3 linked regions of the Macaca fascicularis genome follow. The protein of the gene in region 2 purifies or fractionates together with the protein of the main gene of each other region. This does not show direct contact. Links are inferred from orthologs where the notes say so. Each region holds a gene or a part of one and is shown on either strand. Other genes may lie near its edges. The genes, in order: ZDHHC5, GOLGA7 and CLDND1.

What was found.
Region 1: the proteins of GOLGA7 (region 2) and ZDHHC5 purify together in Homo sapiens (co-immunoprecipitation; 3 studies listed by BioGRID and IntAct, with this or other methods). This does not show direct contact. The link is inferred for Macaca fascicularis from reciprocal best matches to the Homo sapiens genes GOLGA7 and ZDHHC5.
Region 3: the proteins of GOLGA7 (region 2) and CLDND1 purify together in Homo sapiens (affinity purification with mass spectrometry; 3 studies listed by BioGRID and IntAct, counting the BioPlex papers as one, with this or other methods). This does not show direct contact. The link is inferred for Macaca fascicularis from reciprocal best matches to the Homo sapiens genes GOLGA7 and CLDND1.

What each region holds. Positions count from the first base shown.
Region 1 is NC_088388.1:15,915,537-15,919,182, forward strand, and holds part of ZDHHC5 (palmitoyltransferase ZDHHC5), read right to left. Parts: intron 2,315-3,646; coding exon 2,157-2,314; intron 1,106-2,156; coding exon 933-1,105; intron 802-932; coding exon 699-801; intron 1-698. UniProt on the Homo sapiens protein: Palmitoyltransferase that catalyzes the addition of palmitate onto various protein substrates such as CTNND2, CD36, GSDMD, NLRP3, NOD1, NOD2, STAT3 and S1PR1 thus plays a role in various biological processes including cell adhesion, inflammation, fatty acid uptake, bacterial sensing or cardiac functions.
Region 2 is NC_088382.1:44,991,635-44,995,747, reverse strand, and holds the start of GOLGA7 (golgin subfamily A member 7), read right to left. Parts: upstream 2,942-4,113; 5' UTR 2,885-2,941; intron 2,873-2,884; exon of another isoform or gene 2,620-2,872; 5' UTR 2,598-2,619; coding exon 2,487-2,597; intron 1-2,486. UniProt on the Homo sapiens protein: May be involved in protein transport from Golgi to cell surface. The ZDHHC9-GOLGA7 complex is a palmitoyltransferase specific for HRAS and NRAS.
Region 3 is NC_088376.1:184,490,511-184,494,686, reverse strand, and holds the start of CLDND1 (claudin domain-containing protein 1), read right to left. Parts: upstream 2,841-4,176; 5' UTR 2,771-2,840; coding exon 2,764-2,770; exon of another isoform or gene 2,456-2,763; intron 1,635-2,455; exon of another isoform or gene 1,613-1,634; coding exon 1,569-1,612; intron 1,362-1,568; coding exon 1,052-1,361; intron 1-1,051. UniProt on the Homo sapiens protein: Plays a role in negatively regulating the permeability of cells to small molecules.

The sequences.
Region 1 (3,646 bases), on a different chromosome or scaffold from region 2:
TTGCAGTGAGCCAAGATCACACCACTGGACACCAGCCTGGACAACAGAGTGAGACTCTGTCTCAAAAAAAAAGATATTTTAGGGCAAAATTCAGCCTTTATCTCTATTGTCTTAGTATCTCTTTGAGAGTTTCTTTTCTTTTCTTTTTTTTTTATTATACTTTAAGTTCTAGGGTACATGTGCACAACATGCAGGTTTGTTACATATGTATACCTGTGCCATGTTGGTGTGCTGCACCCATTAACTCGTCATTTACATTAGGTACATCTCCTAATGCTATCCCTCCCCCACCCCGCCCCCCCACCCCACAACAGGCCCCAGGGTGTGATGTTCCCCACCCTGTGTCCAAGTGTTCTCATTGTTCAATTCCCACCTATAAGTGAGAACATGCAGTGTTTGGTTTTCTCTCCTTGAAACAGTTTGCTCAGAATGGTTTCCAGCTTCATCCATGTCCCTACAAAGGACATGAACTCATCCTTTTTTATGGCTGCATAGTATTCCATGGTGTATATGTGAGAAATGGCCTCTATGCTTACATGAGGAACTAGGACTACCTCACTCCCTACCATTAATCTCTACATAATCATGAAAAGTATTCATTAAGCATCTCTTTATGGAAGCACTACACTGCACACTAATCAGAGGGCTAAAGACACATGCCCTGCTCTTCAGGGGTCTCTCGTCACTTCTCTCCATACCTGTTCATTGGTTGTGCGTCCCCTGGCCACCAGCACCACGTGAAATCCCGTGAGGCCAGCTACAGGGATGAAGAATAAGCCAGCCACACACATTACTGCCATTCTGATGCCAAACAATCAAGGAGAACAGAGCAACATGATCTCACTTTCCCCAGCTCCTACTGCAGCCATTTTCCCTTCAGCCCTCATTCCTCCCCCTTCCAATCCCACAACCTAAAAGGCCTTGAAGGATACGTGACAGCCGTGCGGACCCCTGAGAGTTCCTCTATGTGGTAGAGGACATAAAGGAGGCCAAAGCCAAACACACCCATAATGTGGGCTGTCAGGGAAAGGAGGAAGAGGAAGAAATAACGGTAGTTCCGGCGACCAATACAGTTGTTCACCCAGGGGCAGTGATGATCAAATTCCTAGGGACAAAAAGAGACAGATGAGAGGCATCCCTGGACCATAGCATTAAATTACTTCTGTCAAGAAAAGAAACAAATGGCAGCTAAGTTTTGGTTTTAGTAATTTATGATCATGGTCATCAATTAGTCCAAAATTAAATCCAGTTTATTTTGCTCTATAAATCTGCAAGGGAGACCCTCCAGAGGTTGGTCAAAGGCCAAGGCCAAACCAGGCATAGTGGCGCACACTTGTAGTCCCAGCTACTGGGGAGGCTGGGGCTTGAGCCCAGGAGTTCAAGGCTGTAGTGAACTATGATGACTGCCTGTGAATAGCCACTATACTGGGCAACATAGCAAGACCCCACTTCCAAAAAAAAAAATGAAAAGGCCAAGGCCAGTTCTCAAAGTTTATCCCATGTGACCAAGGAACTCTAAAAGTGACGAATGTCAGCGGCTTTGCAAAAACATCAAGATTCATGAGAAAAGAGGATTAGATGGAGAATTTGGCAGGTAACTGCTTACAGCTAAGTGAAAATGGAATGGAAAAAGGACAAGGGATACAGAAGGACAGGCAGGAAAAGAACTACAACAAATTGAAACGCAACGGCATGATTTTCTGGAAGAGAAAACTCAAAGCCAGGATAAATAACCAAAGATGAGCCAACAGCTAGAAGGCTAGAACTATAAATCCTGGTGTCAAGAAAGCCTACACCCTGCTGGTGCAATGGCTCATGCCTGTAATCCCAGCACTCTGGGAGGCCAGGGCATGAGAATCACTTGAAGCCAGGAATTTGAGACAGTCCAAGCAACACAGGGAGACCTCATCACTACAAAAAGTATAAGTAAATAAAAAAGTCTACGCCCATACTGAGTTAAAGCTTCCCTCCTGCAATAATATTTATGCTCTGCCTCTCATGTTATGTCATTACTAACACCATGTGACAGAGCTGGACCATGTGGCCAACCTAGTTAGACAGGACTATACCACATCCAAAGCTAAGAATCTGTTATATGGTTAGGATGAAGACAGTGAAGGTTAAGCATGAAGTCTTACCCCACCTAGGGTGCTTACCTCCACACAGTTGTCACAGACACTGCAATGGGAACATCGAGGGGGACGGTAGAAGCGGCAGGTGGCACACCATTTCATGCGCACCTGGATGCCCTTGATCTCCACTGTTTTGTAAAGGGGAGCTCGGAAATCATCTTCCTTGTCCTCATCCTCCTCAGCTGTAGAGAGGAAAAGTCAATTAAAAACAACTATGCCAGAACTGTAGTAAGTGCTAGGGATCCAATGATGTTTAAAATATAGCTTCTGCCTTTGAGGAATTCACATTCTAATGAGTGAAACTAGGGACTAGGAACTATAAGACTGTGAGGTCAGGTTTTTATACAACACTATGGGAACACGGATGAGGAAGCAATTTATTCTGCATTGGGAAGTGAGGTTCAAGATAAAATGACTCAAGAGGTAGCTCTTGTATGCATCTGCTGGTGTTATTTGGCTTAAGTATATGAATATATTTTAAACAAATAGTTTACATATCAAAGCACATACATAATGAGTTTACATAAGAGTTCAGTATCTATATTTATATGAGTGAACTATAGCAATTCAGGAGAGGAACTAACATCAACCTTTTTTTCCAGGCACAAATACTTTGCCCAGCCAACCGTGGTGGCTCATGCCTGTAATCCTAGCACTTTGGGAGGCCAAGAAGGGCGGACTGCCTAAACTCAGGAGTTCAAAACCAGCATGGCCAACATGGTGAAACCTCGTCTCTACTAAAAATACAAAAGTTAGCCGGGTGTGGTGGCGTGCGCCTGTAGTCCCAGCTACTCAGGAGGCTGAGGCAAGAGAATCGCTTGAACCCGGGAGGCGGAGGTTGCAGTGAGCTGAGATCACGCCACTGCACTCCAGCCTGGGCAACAGAGTGAGACTTCATCTTCGTCTTAAAAAAAAAAAGAAAAAACCAAATCCCTTCCCAAAATGTCTTCCCCTACTCTATGAATTTTCTATATATATATACATATTTCAGTATTATTTGTTGCACAAGCATAAATGCCCTTTCTCTCAATTTTCAGCTATCAGAAACCCACCATCCCATTTCAAAACTTAAAAGACATTATTTGCCTTCTCATATACAATTAGCAATTTTTTTGTTTTTTGTTTTGTTTTTTTGAGATGGAGTCTTGCTCTGTTGCCCAGGCTGGAATGCAAGGACGTGATCTTGGCTCACTGCAATCTCCCCCTCCCAGGTTCAAGTGATACTTCCGTCTCAGCCTCCCAATAGCTGGAATTACAGGCGCATGCCACCTCGGCGGCTAATTTTTTGTATTTTTAGTAGAGACAGAGTTTTACCGTGTTCCCCAGGCTGGTCTCAAACTCCTGAGCTCAGGCAATCCACCCGCCTCAGCCTCCCAAAGTGCTAGGATTACAGGCATGGGCCACCGCACCCAGAGCAATTTTTATTTTTTATTAACCTAGAAAAAAAAAATGTGGGAAGGAAAAATTAAATAAATGATAGTGTGGGATTACAAATTAAGTTTTCAAATTTTACT
Region 2 (4,113 bases):
TCCTACTCCCAAATTAAAGGGCACAAATGTGTATGTATTTTTTAAAAAATGCTTTAAAATAACACAGAACACTTGCATATTAGTCTCTTTCTCTATTACGTTGCCAAGTGTGATGTTCTCACAAAAAGAAAATCAGCTCCAACAGCAGAGCAATCAGTAAAATTTCTAGGGTAAGTAGTAGAGAAACAGAAACCTTTCAATTTTTCATCAAAGCAAGGAAAGTTTAAACCTGTAATTTAAATTTAATCTCAACACACACACACACACACACAGACCCATACACACACAATCAAAGCTTTTCTAGTGGTTTAAAGCATAAGCTAGTGTTTTAACCCAAACATTTAAAAAGAAAAAAGAAATTCACAGGCACAATTGAATAGTGCCATGTAACATTCCATATAGTACTCAGTACCACAGGCAGTTCTGGGCTACACAGAGTCAAAGAGGTAAAAGGACTCCAGAATTTAGAAACATCAATTTCCTGAGAAGAATCAGTGGAGCACTGTAACTACATTGTGCTTTTGTACTTAGGTTACAAAATAAAGGCTCTGCCACACACAGAGTGGAAGGCTAATGTCTGATTCTGCGTACACACATTTGCTCAAATATGAGGTGTAAGTGTTGCTTTAAAACCTTAAAGCAAATGAATCTTTAATGTCCAAATAATGGCGGTAAAAAAAGAATACTTTATATTCTGATTTTGAAGTACATAAAATTGTATGTCATAATCTCCATGAGAGGCTTAAAAATAAAACATTTGATTGATTCCATGTAAATCTTTTTATTTTATTTATTTTTTGAGACAGAGTCTTGCTCTGTCGCCCAGGCTGGAGTACAATGGCATGATCTCGGCTCACTACAACCTCCGCCTCCCAGGTTCCAGAAATTCTTCGACTTCAGCCTCCTGAGTAGCTGGGATTACAGGTGCCCGCCACCACACCTGACTAATTTTTGTATTTTTAGTAGAGATTGGGTTTCACCATGTTGGCCAAGCTGGTCTTGAATTCCCCACCTCAAGTGATGCACCCGCCACGGCCTCCCAGAGTGCTGGGATTACAGGCGTGAGCCACCGCGCCCAGCCTGATTCCATGTAAATCTTAACATGTAAAACACATCAGCTGTGATGTTAAATTATTTTAAAACAACATTCAGTAGCTCTAACCAACTGGCCACTTGCTGAATTTCTAGCTCTTCTAACCACTGTAGATAGTTCCACCTACTGTCACGCTGAGTTAACTCATAACATAGTTGACAAGATACTGCAGCATTTAAATGGCATTTCAGAAACAAGTCACCTCACCATCTTTTAAAGGCATATTTGATCAATTTGCAATTCAAGAAACATATTTGGGCCACTAACCTGCCCATGGTTATGTCAAACTGAAGGAAACTATAATGGATCATTGTTGATTTCCCAACCATGGCAATCAGGCAGTGCAACCCACCTCACTGTAAACTGTCTGTAAATAACTGCTACACATTTCTCTACACAGACTCATCCACACCTACTTATCCCATGACCAGCATCCCTCAGTTCCACACCCAACGAATGCCTAATCACCTCTCAGGCCCTCGCCCTCCCTGTCACAGAGGAGGGAGCCACAAAACCTGCTTCCAGCTAACCAGAAATTGATCCCTGAACAGGAAACACAATCTACATGACATGGGTCAAGACCAAAAGAATCTTTGGTTGAGTGTACATATGTGGGCACACAAAAACACAGGCAGGCACGCACATACTCCATTACCTCTACAAGATACAATGGTTTTTTAAAAAAACGTTTGCTAAGTCTGAAGGAGAAGCAAATTCCATTCTTACATTTTTGCATGCAATGTTACCCAAAGGACCTACATCCTGATGGCAATTTTGATATGCAAGACAAAACACGTGGCTCCCAGTGAATGTGATAAGTTTAAGGCCTTGTTCTGAGATATTTTCCTGTCCAGGCCTATCTAACGCTCTACGTCTTTAAGGTTCCAAGAAAGCCTAAATGCACCGCCTGGCAATGCACCTAATAAACCCTTTCAGTCAAACAGTGCGGCCAGCACAGAGGCAGCAAACACCAGTTATGAGAATGATGATGATTTATCTTGCGCGGAGAGGTAGGAAGATATAGCTTAAAACCTGGTGGCTGAGGTGGCCTGGAGCCTCAGGAATTGGCTCCTCAACGCTGCCGACAATTACCCGGGGTGGGGATTTGAGGGAGTGCAGCAGGGGAAGACTGCTGGATCCAGATTCCCGGCACCGGGCAACAAAGTTCCATAAGGTCGTCAACCCCGGCGATCGGCGTATATTATTCTTGCTCCTCCAAACACCTGTCTTGCTTAGTGGCTCTCTTCTTACACCTTTGGCCAAGGCCCCTTCTGTGCCTGGCCCTCCCCAGAACTGCTGGATCCTCAACGGCCCGGTTGTCGCCCACACCCCTCCCGTCCCCGGTGAGTCTCTCTCCCTCGCCAGAGCAGGCGTGGGGAGCCAGGTTGCGTACCCGGTTCTCCAGCTCCGCAGGGAACTTGGTCTGGAACTGGCAGCGTGTGCCACTGCTGTAGTCTCGCTGAATGAACACCTTTCCGGACACCGGCGCCTGCTGCGGCCTCATGGCGAGGACTGGACACCCCGCGCTGCGGGGTCGGGGGAACACCAACCGCGGGTCAGAGCCCCGGCCTGGACCCGGGACTCCGACCCGCCAGTCCCTCGCCCCCACTCGCCGCCCAAAACAGCCCAAGGCCTCCTCTGCCCCGCTCCCCTTCACCCATGCTGTCACCGCGGGCCTTAGCTGCCGCCTGGCCCAGGCCCCGCGCCCCCCAACAACCCGGTTCGGCCCGGGAAACAAACCCGCCTCCTCTGCCCTCCAGCTGCTGTCGCACCGCCTTCGCCGTCACTTACGTCCTGCCGCAAAAAGCCTCTTCCCCGCCCCTCAGCTCGGCCTCCTACCTCAAGTCTGGGACCCACCCTCTCCTCTGGCCGTAAAGCCACCCTGCCGAGGCTGCGCGCTGCGGGGCTGGGCCGAGGAAGGGAAACGCTGTGGGCGGGGCCAGGGCCGACCCCGCCTTCCGCCCTCGGAGATTGTTTCCGGAAGGAGAGAGGCGGGGCGAGCTGTGGGGCTGCGGCAGGCGCGAGCGCGCGGGGGTGTGAGGGACGAAGTTTCCTGGCTGTGTCACTTGTGGCAGCTGGTTCCCGATCGCTGATTGTGAGGGGTTATTTTCGTTCTTGATTGGACGTTGCAACTTACGTGTGGGTTGTGCCACCCAACTCATACGTAAAACGAAAAACAAAACATAAAGAAAAAACAACACCCCATCCCCAAACCCTCAAACATAAACTGCTCATCGTGTTCAGAAGTAGAAGGGCTCTGGGGATGGATCCGTTTGGTCCCTAGACTCGTAAGAAAGGGTCAGGAAGTGAGGACGAAGAACCTGCGTGGGCCCCAGCGTTGGCCGTCCCCGCCCCTTCCCGACCCTTCTTTGGGGGCGGCTTTCCTCTCACCCCACGTTTCCACCCAGCTCCCATCCACGCCCCTCGACGGCGGCTTTCCTCTCACCCTCATTTCCACCCAGCCGCCACCCATGCCCCTCAGGTGACCCAAGGGGACAGACAAGCAGTTCTGCCCTCGTTGCCCACTGGCCCCTACTTTACTCAGCATCTCTTTGCAAGGCAGCCAAAGAAACCCCACCTTACCTTGTCTCCTGCTAATACAACCTTTCAGTACCATGTCTTATATATTTAATACAGTTTAAATATCCTGCCTTTTAAATATGAAAAATTCTCCCATTGTGTTTTAAAAACAGCTTTTTCGAGATATAAATGGCATACAATAAACCACACATATTTAAAGCAGTGGATTTGATAACTTTGGACATATGAATACACCCATAAACCATTGTCACAATCAAGATAGTAAAGCTCCATTGCCCTGAAAAGGTTCCTCCAGCTCCTGTGTAATTCCTCCCTCCTGCCTCTCCCCAGACCCCATTTCCCAGGCACTGATCCACCTTCTGTCACTATACATTAGTTTCATTTCCTTGAAATTTATATAAATTGAATCATATAGTGTGTACCCCCTTTTTTGCCTGGCTTCTTTCACATAGACTATTTCGAAGTCCATCTGTTGTTGT
Region 3 (4,176 bases), on a different chromosome or scaffold from region 2:
ATTCTGTTTATACTGTTATATTCTGTTCATTGCCTGTCATCCTTTATTAGAATGCTAGCTCCCCAGGAGTAAGGACTTTGTTCTCTTTCCTGATGTTCTCCCAGCTAAGAGGCCCTGGAACATGGAGGCATGCAATAAATTATTTGTTTAATGAATGACTAAATGGTAACACTCCAATATCAAGTGCTCCTGTACCCTCACAAGTCAAACTGAACATTTTACAATGAATTTTAACCAACTTTCTCTCCTTTCCTTCCAAATTACCTCCTTTTTTTTCCAGATACAGTGACATATTATCATCCTTTTGATATATGGTAACACAAGCCTCTTCTGCTATGATTTGAATACAATGCTTCCCCACTAAGTGGCCAACAGAAGTAGTCATTAACGTTGTTCCTTACAAAGAGTTCTAAGGCTACCATTTTAATAAGTGGAAATTAAAAACTTTAAGCGTTAAATAAGAATGCCTGCAAAATAAACCTGAAAAACTTAGTTTTTTTTTTTTTTTACTTCTGTAATACAAATTTCGTAACCTACAAACTCTGTATCAAGATTGCTGTAAAACAGTCTCATCTACATAGATTTAAATGTAGAGCTGGTCAAATTATATCCCCTAAGATACAGGAGTAAATGATAGATATGTATTATAATACAGCTAACCCATAAAAGGACAATTTGTTGAGTTGATTTTCGATGGTAGTCCTTTTACTAGTTACCAAATATTTTTAAAGTCTTTCGATGTACTTTTCCAACTATTTCTTTATGATGTGTTAGATTAATAAAAAGTGTTTTAATGTGTGAGTAAATAAAAAAAAATTTAATGGCTTTCCCAAGATAAGAAAAGTTCCTCATCCAACCAATATTGATGAGTACCATGGTAATGCAAAGAGGTTGGGGAGAGAAGGCAGTAGAAAGAGAAGATACACATGATTTATTTCTTTAAGGAGAGAGAGAACCAATAAACCTGCTTACATGTAACTGGGCAATCACTAGGTCATTTTGTCCATTATTAACCAGGTAAAGAAGAGAGAAGTTAAAATAAGAGAAATACCTGTCCTTTCTGGTGGGCTATACCAATGCATGTTTTTGGGTATGGTGATACACCGTCTCCACAATCCCACTGTGCCATTGTATCGAAAAAGTGCATCATTGTAAGTCTTTTCATCTGCCTCATCACTAATGAATTCATCCCAGATGCTTTTATTCAAATCACTGGAATTTTCTTGAACTGGACTTCGATATTCATACCAGAAGTCTGTGCCAATGGAGGCTGCCATGTAGATGGTGGAAATGAGGCTAAGCACACAAGCAATTACAAATGCTGTAGCAAAACGGTTATCCATTCTGGCATTCAGACTGCTCTGTTTAAAAGTTGAAGAAAGAAGAAAGTCTTAAAGGACAAATAAGAAAAACTATTTTGAATTATTCCAAATGCACCCTTTACCCAATTCCCCATCCCTTCGTACATATAACCATTAAGAATTTTTTTTTTAGAAAGCAAGCATGTTTTTAATTAAGCTTAAAACAAAACTCATTCTCATAAAAGTACTTATTGAATGCTCACATACCCAGGATGCTACGGAGACAGAGGTCTTGTTCTCTAGTCTATCACCTGCATACTAAAACAGACAACACTGAAATGGACATACACATTACAGATACAAACAATAGACATGCCCATGGTCAGCAGTGTTACCGTGCACACATTTTAAATCACAGACTGAATTTTTGCACGAGCTGCAGAGGATTAAGTGTTCTGGGTTTGAGTGTTAAAAAGACACAGGAAAAAGCAGTGGCAATTGGCTTCTCCCAGTTTCCTCTGAAGAGGGAAGCCTCCTAAAACAAAGGTAAGAGTCAGGAGCCATACGGAAAACAGAGTTGAAGATGTTTGTTAACCCCGAGGGAAAGGTTGTTCTAGGTGTATAAAATAGCAAAGAGAACAATAACATATAATAATGCTAGATAGCAATCTCTCCCTAATCCATTAAAGCTAAGCCACGCTTCTTTACGCTGCCAAATGCTTCACTCCTATCTACTCTCCCTATTCCTTATACTTCTGAACCTCCTCAACTGAAACCTTGCTCTCTCCCTAAACCCTAAGTGCAACATATGTCCGCAAAAACTAAATGATCCCTCCTCAGCCAGACAGAAAACTCTCAAAATATCAACACTCCCAAGGCGTGGACAGGGCTCAACGGCAGTAGTAAATGGCCGCGGTAAAATGACTCAAGGCGGATCGCGCTGAGCCAAATACTACACGGCAAGTATACACCGTGACCGCACCAAACACCTTACAAAGGTGCACGAAAACAGACTCGCAAACTGGGGTTGCTGAGTTTGGAAAATTGGAACTGACTCAGGAAAGGTAAGGGCAATGACAACGATAACTCAAAAAGTTGGATTTGCATTTTGATTTTTTAAAAATCCCCCCTTCATCCTGGTGCTCTCAAATGACCTTAAAGGGTCCCAGCACTGGGAACGGCGGTTCATCGAAGCCGGACGCCTGGAGCGGTCACCTCCCGGGCCTCACAGCGGGGCCGGAGAAGGCCAGGGCTGGGGCGGGGCAGTCGTGTGCGGCCCCCATCCAGAGTCCCCCAGTACCCGACCAGGCCCCGCCCTAGAGGGCTCGGCCCAGGGACAAACCCGCCGCTCGGAACCCGCCCAGTCCCGACCACGCCCGGGAAGGGGGCCCCTCTTCAAACCGCCGGGAACATCGAACCGCGACGCGACCCCCGCCCAGCGACGCAGGTCCCGCTCACTCACCGCCCATCCTCCTGCTCCGCCAGCTTCACCCTCTAGCTCAGACCACAGCACCCTACTCTCCCCGCGCCTCCTCTGACGCACTTCCCTGCAGAGCCCGCCCCCTCCATAACTCCCGCGCCTCCGCCTCCGCCCCCACTCCGGGCCGGGCCGCGGCCCGGGACCGAGGGGCCTTGTGGGAGTTGTAGGAGGGACAGACTGAAAGCTGTCTGAGGCGGCGATAGGCATCCTGGCGCCGCGCGCGGCGCATTGTGGGAGATGTAGTTCAGCTCCTCAGGGCAAGCCGGTGCGCAGAAGGGAAGTCTAGGCTGTTGGATTCTTGCATTTTAGGGAGGAAGGAACAATGGTCCAGAAAGTAAAGCGGACCGGTTTCCGGTCACCTCTAGTCAATGACCGTGACCTGTATAACTTAGGTCTGACTTTTAGGCCTGTGCTTTCCCTATCACACCACCCTGCCTCTAGATTTAAGTATAAATGAACAAAAATGGGATTCTACTTGTGAAACGTTGACCCATTTTATTTCCCTCTCCCAGAATCCCTCCCATTGGAGCAGAGTCCTTTTCGTTTTACTGCATAAGTTTAGGCTAAGAAGTATGTGACCTGGCAGACAGTATCCATCAAGAATGTAATGACATTATTTGGGTTTCATAAAATGTGTGTTTGTAGCTGCCTATTTTTTATGACAAGTGATACTAGTTTTCTATTGCAGTAATGTTGTTCCTTTTAAATTTTTTTCATTTAATTTTAAAAATATTAATAATACTGAGCATACCAGATATGTCAAAAAATGAATAAAAAATTGTGGGTATAGTAGGAAAAAGACTGAAATTTGGGGAACATCACTCAAGTAGATAAGGTCAAGGACAGCATTGGAGATTGCAGATGATGTGTGGCACACAGGACACAATGTTTCTGAGCCCTCAGGTTTAACACAGAAATTCACGGACAGGAAGCAGGTACATCTTAACGATAACATGAGTGGAACTATTAACGTGGCCTGGGACCAGCAAATGGTGGATTTCTCAACGGTAACCTACAGAGAAAACTGACTCGAGGACCAGAGGGGCTCTCAAACCTCCACTCCGTCCCCTAATGCCTTGTAATTTAGCACAGGAGAAAGATGGGAGCTTCAAGTTGATACTAAATTTCTACCACTTTGACAGATTAAAGGCATGGTATGTTTCTCTATCTGTAGTTACATTTCTTTCACCTGAGTGAACCGATATTCATATGCAGTACATAATAAGCTAGTAGCCAAATATATTCTAACATGACTCTGGATTTTTACATACAGCATACAGTCAAAAAAAATTTGTCAGTGGCGGAGGGGCACAGGCAAATTGTCAGTGTGTAGTAAGACGCATAAATGCCTTTATACTCCAGGAAATGTCTTCATCCGTTAGCCTTCATTAGAAA